Lytechinus pictus: one gene and its partner. The protein of the gene in region 1 purifies or fractionates together with the protein of each later gene. This does not show direct contact. Links are inferred from orthologs where the notes say so. Each region holds a gene or a part of one and is shown on either strand. Other genes may lie near its edges.

The links. Proteins that work in one complex are often made in the same cells at the same time.
Region 2: the proteins of SWI/SNF-related matrix-associated actin-dependent regulator of chromatin subfamily B member 1-like (region 1) and histone deacetylase complex subunit SAP18-like fractionate together in Homo sapiens (co-fractionation; 3 studies listed by BioGRID, with this or other methods). This does not show direct contact. The link is inferred for Lytechinus pictus from reciprocal best matches to the Homo sapiens genes SMARCB1 and SAP18.

Annotation. Positions count from the first base shown.
Region 1 is NC_087246.1:18,204,810-18,208,409, reverse strand, and holds the start of SWI/SNF-related matrix-associated actin-dependent regulator of chromatin subfamily B member 1-like, read right to left. Parts: upstream 2,466-3,600; 5' UTR 2,389-2,465; coding exon 2,302-2,388; intron 1-2,301.
Region 2 is NC_087248.1:29,154,248-29,158,081, reverse strand, and holds the start of histone deacetylase complex subunit SAP18-like, read left to right. Parts: upstream 1-1,390; coding exon 1,391-1,435; intron 1,436-2,302; coding exon 2,303-2,409; intron 2,410-3,834. UniProt on the Homo sapiens protein: Component of the SIN3-repressing complex. Enhances the ability of SIN3-HDAC1-mediated transcriptional repression. When tethered to the promoter, it can direct the formation of a repressive complex to core histone proteins.

The DNA.
Region 1 (3,600 bases):
TTTGTGTAGATCTATGGTGGAAGTTTGATAAATTTCAAGAAATATGATTGAATGTACTGTAGATCTATAATAGTATGACTATAAACAGTGATTGGTAGTAAATATATGATCCACTAATATACTCTAGCCTAGCCTAGGCCTACTTGATCATGCACGAAAATTTGACAGAATTCAGAATATAATTAGAGGTCTAGACTCCGACTATAGATCTAGATCTAAAGCCACATACAACTTTTCCATCCTAAATCTGGCAATCCCTGGCATAATTTCGTGAAATAGGGAACACAGCAGTGTCTTTATTCGGTCACACGCATCGGTTCTCTAACGTCACTCACACGTATTGCGAGGTTAATATACTAACCTCCCACCATGAACCGCGTTTGGCAGTGGATTTCTAACTAGTAGTGGGTCGCGCGTGCTGCGATCCCACTTCTGGCAGTAGAGGCGCACGGCCAATATGGGAGACTCTCTCCAATAGGGGAGACAATCTCCCACATTGGAGACATAAGGGCCGTCTGCACCATCCCGAGTTTTCAAATTAGCGCGCTATTTCTGATCCGGCAAATTATCCCGATCTGAAAAATCTCGAGATAGTTGGCGGTGGAGACGCAATTATCGCGCTAGTTCGTAGGATTAATCTCGAGATTGCAATCCCAAGTCAACTCGGGTTTATTTGCAAAATAGCGCGCTATTTTACGAATTATCCCGCTAATTCGTCGGTGCAGACGCACTCGAGATTGGACTCAGGGTAATTTATTCATGACGTCAGTCCATAATGCAATTCGCGTTCCACTTCCGCCTTGGTCAAAACATAAACACGTGCGAAAGTCAACTTTATACATGCGAATAGCGTTCATCAATTGCCTAATAAGCAACGATGGTGTCCCACCAGTGAATGGATTTTGGGAGAGACCAGACCGAAGGGGGAGGCGCTCATCGACGATGGTCATATTCAATAACAACACTGACAGCAGTGTTGTCTTATTCCTTCGCAAAATGTGAGCAAATAGCATTTCTTTCCTCCTTCTCTCCCTCTCTCTCTCTCTCTGTCGTTGTCTCCTACTCATATTTAACGAAGAATACATCACTTCTTCACTCGCTGGGCTGAGAGGATTGTTGCATAACACCGGTCGAATTCGGCGAAAGTGCTAGTGAAAGGAGTACATTGCTTGCATATCGCGGGAAGTTATTCAAAAGCGCGGGCCGTTGAAACTCCAAGATCCGAAAGTGCGCATGCTCGAAATATCGGGTTTGTTGCCTCGCTCGAGCAGGAATCGCTGTCTTGCGATGGTGCAGACGGGGTTTCTTGAATCTCGAGATTAATCGCGAAGTGGGCCGATCGGGCTAAAATCTCGAGATTGAGCAAACTCGGGATGGTGCAGCACCACCTTTGCTTTGCAAAAGGACAAAAGAAACAACACCAACAATAGCATGATTTTTTCCATCCAAAATTTTGTCTCACTGAGGTCAGAAGCCCATTTGTTTTGTGTGTGATTGACAACGAAAATCCTTATCAAAACAAAAGTAGACGGTGAATTTTTAAAGTAGACGGTGAAAAGGGGCAATTTTTCATGAGGAATCTCCTTAGCACATTTTTATTTGCCGCCAAGGTAATCCTTTTGCAGCAAATGTAAACAAAGGAAATTGGTCTCCAAAACTGGAGACTGTCTCTGAAATTGGATAGGGGGGGCCTACCCAAATTCTTTACAAAAGTCTCTGATATTGGAGATAATCTCCCACATTGGAGACAGTCTCCAATATTGGCTGTGCGCCTCTACTGTCTGGTGTCCACAACACACGACTTCTTATCATCTATGGCTTGATTTTTCTGTGTGCGGTGGCATGTAATAAACCCTAACGTAATCCACCTCGACTCTGCTGACTAACGTTTAACTTTAACTTTAAATAATTAATGTTAATGTTAGAACTTAAAGTGCACGCGAACAAATAAAATAATCGACGAGTGGTTCCCGAAACCACAATTTGGCCCTAATTTTTAATTTTTAATATCTTCTAGTTCAAGATCACATAATTTATTTTTTTTTGCTTTTGGTAGAGTGGGCATGTATATGAAAGTCCCCTCCCCCCCCCCCCCCCCCCCACAAAAAAAGGCAGCGCAGCCGCAGGAATTCAGCGCACAGCGAACAAAGGATTTGGCCTTTGGCTTTGGGCTGACGCCGGGCAGGGGATGCGTTCCGCGACGTGCCACACACTGCACAGACTGACTGTGTCATGTCAGCGAGTGTGTCTTTTCCTACCACTAATTTGAGGCAAAATATCAATAAAACGAATTTTACTTACTTCAGAACCAATCATATATTGCTCTCCTCCTTCTTCAAAATGGAAGACATCGGGCTTCTTCCCGTATGTTTTTAGAGGTGTCCCCATTTTGTATCCTTTTCTTTCGTACTTTCCTTTAATATCAGCGCAGCCGAATCGAAATCACGAATGTTATCGTGAATGGTATTGGCGAATTTACTTCAGCGCCGCGCCAGCAATTAAAAAGAAAAAAATTGAAGGGGGTCAGTGAAGGCCCCACACCGCGGGGCACCGAATTAATTATTTACTAGATGATAGTACCGTTTTTCCACCCTACTTGATTTTTTTCGATTCAATCAATCCAATTCAATTTCAATTTAATAGTCTACGATTTAATTATAAATGAAAAAAATATATCTTCCACTGGCTTTCTCTTTTTTTTGCGGGGGGCAGATTTTACCAGAATGAGCCACAACAAGGGCATCATTTTAGTGAAATAACGGGGCATGTGTATAACTTAGATGTGAATATTAAATCAATGAGGCTTTGGGGAGGACTGGCACTGCCATTTCAATGTGGACACTGTGAAAGTACACAAAAGCATGTATATAAAAGAGGGTTATCACAGCGAGGAATGTAACGTCATATAGTGACAAGGCCAAAATCAAGAAAAACAGTTTTCTACCCTATCATGACAGTGATATATTTCAGGCATTTTAGGATTAAAAAAAGACATGACAAAATATTTGGTTAGATATCTGATTGAGGATTATGACTTGTTCAGGGTCCATTTTGGAAGTCCATGTGTAAAAGCATATGGCATCCACTTTGATATGTCACGAGACGTATATGGTCTTCATGAGTTTACTCCAGTTTGTAAACTCACGTTTTGCTTTGTTGGTATTTGTTTGCTCTCTCCCTCTCGCTCTCCCTACCTCCCTCCCTCACCTAGGAGCGGCCTCATCTCTCTATCCCCTCTCTCTACCCTCCCCTGTTTCTCCACCTTCTATGCATGCTTCTATCATGATAGTTGAAGAAACAATGTTTGTGAGTCAATTGGACACAAGGACCTATAACACAATCAGTTTTGCGGGGCACACAACTCGAGATGTATTAAAGGACAAGTCCACCCCAACAAATAGTCCACCTGAACAAATCAAGAAAAATCCAACCAGCATAACACTGAAAATTTCATCAAAATTGGATGTAAAATAAGTTATGACATTTTAAAGTTTCACTTAATTTCACAAAACAGTTATATGCACATCATGGTTGGTATGCAAATGAGGAAACTGATGACATCATCCACTCACTGTTTCTTTTGTATTTTATTATATGAAG
Region 2 (3,834 bases), on another chromosome or scaffold:
GCAAAATGATGATATTGTGATGCTTGTTGAGGATATCAGATTTCTTCGGAACTGGGCGTTAACGGTGACAAATTTGCTGATCTTTTGTCAATATTTTCATGAATACTGACCTCATCCTGAAGGAACTTACACCAAAAGGTAATTTTTTTAGGTCGCTTTTCACGTTGATGATGTCAGATTTTAAAGGAGAATGAAACTCTTGGAGCAAGTTAGCTTTTGTGAAAGCAGAAAAATCAAAGAATAAGATCAACAAAAGTTTGAGTAAAATAGGACTAGCAATAGAAGAGTTATGAGCATTTGAATGTCGAGATCACTAATGCTATGGAGATCCTCCCATTGGCAATTAAATGCGACCAAGATCTATGATGTCACAGATGAACAACTCTCCCCTTTTGGACACTGAAAATATACCCCAAAACATCTATTTTTGCTCATTCTAATCATATGACAAACGATTCATCAATGATATAATGTTGTGAAACCTCTGTACTTGTCCTCTCATAAAGAGAACACCTCACCTTGTGATAGACTCTATAAAAGTGAGAATATAAGTGAAATAAGTACTAAAGTAATGAGGGAGTTGTACGTGTGTGACATCACAGATCTTGGTCGCATTGCCAATAGGAGGATCTACATGGCATTAGTGATCTCATTATTCAAATGCTCATAACTTTCTTACTATTCATTCAATCTTCCTCAAACTTTCAACAATATGTTTCTTTGATTTTTCTCTTTGATATGGATTCAGCTTGTTTCAAGGGTTTCATTCTCCTTAAAGGATATTGGCTATTTTTTTAGATAATGACCGTCCGCGAAGTTTGGACTCATTGCCATACTCGACTCCTACTTCCTAACGAGTAACGTTAACGTTAGACTAGTCTCAAACACGGGTTGGTCGTTGACGTTGGATGAGTGCGCTGCATTGGGCTTCCGCTTGGGGTGTTGTTTCGCATTAATTGCGATTGATCGGCGCTAAAGCAGTTTCGCACTGCCACTGGCCGAATTTCAGGGAATTTTTTTCAGCATGTTTCCGATTCCCCAAATAAAAAGGGCACAAATAATAATCGGTTGCAGCTACCTCAAGTGAGGTTCGTGCAGGCTCCACTCCACTTCACTACCGCTACACTACGCTCCATCTACCTGAACCTCAATGTGGTGAACTCGCTCTGATACTTTGAGTGACAAAGGTGGGAGAAAATGCATGTTTATTTGTAAAAATCCTACACCGAAATGAGCTTAAAAATAATAAGAAGCTAAATTTCTTACTTTTCATCCTAATTTCACTCCATATCCATCCTCCTGTTAGCCGCAAAATTGGTTATTTAGAGCCAGCATCGAGTTCCTCACTCTTATAAATAATTCGCTGCTGATTTGAAAACATCGCATCCGCATGCGTGAGGGTCTGAGTTGCGACTTGACCTTTGAGAGCCAAGTTGTATGATGAATAGTATCAGAAAATATAGCATTTGTCCCCAAGAACAAGAGAAAATAAGCCAAACATTGCCAACTTTATTTCACCACACAGAGAGTACTAACAGAGAACAAGGATATCATTGTGAATCACTTTGAGTAGTCGTAGATTGATAAAGCGCTGTATAGAGTCTAAAAGCTTTATTATAACTATTATCATAAACTTGATCATTGAATGAGTGAGGCCCATCGTGATCAGGAATGGCTGTATTATTTTCAGCTCGATCTTGACAGGCAAATGGATCTACCGGTACTGTGAGTGACTGAGGGTGATGTGAGAAAATGAAAGGGTCAGGCTCTTGGGGATAATGAATCACAGTAATGAATTATTTTGATACATTTCAAAAGTTCATAAAGTTTTGATAAATCATGTAAATTTGATAATTGTATTGCTGAACATCTGAAGTCGGAGGTTAGACTGGCTTTGGATTCAGTCTATGCTCACTTGCGTAATGAGCTACTTGTATACTCAGGGATTTAGCTATGGTGCAACTCAAATGACAGCATCATCGGTCAATAGCTTCAAGACGAAGCTAGACAAGTTTTGGTCTTCGTTGCATTATGTCCACCCATGGGAACAGTGACCTTTTTCACTGCATGTTACAGCACACAGACTCAGAATGAGAAATTTAATACCCTAGATAGGAAGACAACATACAAGATTGACCTGGAAACTTGTCTGCAGAAACAACTGTATTTTTCCAGTAGATCCGGTGTAAAGGTATAAAATACGTCATTGCCTCATTGGATAAATAAACATTCCATACACCCGTTAAAGTAATAGCCTCACTCTTCATTCTTGGTGTATTCTTTTATCTCCTCCTTTTCCTAGACCTGTCCACTTCTTCTGAGGGTGTTCTGTAATAACAATCGTCACCATCAGGAACACGAGTTTTCTCGAGGAACAGTCCCAGCCAACGAACTCCAGATCTACACATGGTAAGTTGGTTGTAGAGGTTTGGTGGTCGAGTGGTCTCTGAAGCACCTTAAAAGTGCGTGGTACCTACATGTATATGCCTTTGATCAAGGCATTTTATAATCAACAATGCTGCTTTATGGTCTGTAAAAAATAAATGGAAATAGAAAAGTAGCATAAAAGGAACATGCTGAAGCTTTTCGACATGCGGTCATCCGAGTAAAACCTGCCCGTTAAGCCAAACATCAAAATTAAACAACTAAATAAACCCTAATCCTTATATTTACATCATTCTGAACCAAAAACTCAATCCAAACTCTAACCCATGCCCCTTGAGATATTAAATCCGGAGCAAATGTCGCAACAGCAAATGTGTCACCAATATATCCCCAATGAATGTCAAACATTTTTGAGTTGTGTTCTCCTACCACCTTTTTCGTTGCGACTATTACAGAATGTTTTTCCTGGTATCATGCTTAGTTTGATTGGGGTAATGGGAATTGTTGTCCTGTGCTTTTGCACCGGAATCATGTGCACAAAAGTTTGTCCGCGTACCATTTATACTTATTTTTATTGTCTGAGGAGTACTTTTGCCAAGATTTGCCTTTTACTGTTTTTTGTCTCACCTGCATAGCAGAGTGAGACTATAGGCGCCGCTTTTCCGACGGCGACGGCGGCGGCGTCAACACCAAATCTTAACCTGAGGTTAAGTTTTTGAAATGACAGCATAACTTAGAAAGTATATGGACCTAGTTCATGAAACTTGGCCATAAGGTTAATCAAGTATTACTGAACATCCTGCCTGAGTTTCATGTCACATGACCAAGGTCAAAGGTCATTTAGGGTCAATGAACTTAGACCATGTTGGGGGAATCAACATCAAAATCTTAACCTAAGGTTAAGTTTTTGAAATGTCATCATAACTTAGAAAATATATGGACCTAGTTCATGAAACTTATACATAAGGTTAATCAAGTATCACTGAACATCCTGCTTGAGTTTCACATCACATGACCAAGGTCAAAGGTCATTTAGGGTCAATGAACTTTGGCCAAATTGGGGGTATCTGTTGAATTACCATCATAACTTTTAAAGTTTATGGATCTGATTCATGAAACTTGGACATAATAGTAATCAAGTATTACTGAACATCCTGTGCAAGTTTCAGGTCACATGATCAAGGTCAAAGGTCATTTAGGGTCAATGAACTTTGGCCAAATTGGGGTATTTGTTGAATTACAGCCATAAATTTGAAAGTGTGTTGGTCTAGTTCATAAAACTTGGACATAATAGTAATCAAGTATCACTGAACATCCTGTGCGAGTTTCAGGTCACATGATCAAGGTCAAAGGTCATGTAAGGTCAAAGAACTTTGGCCACGTTGGGGGTATTTGTTGAATTGCCATCATATCTCTATAAGGGTGCGTTTATCCGCCACTTTTTCACCC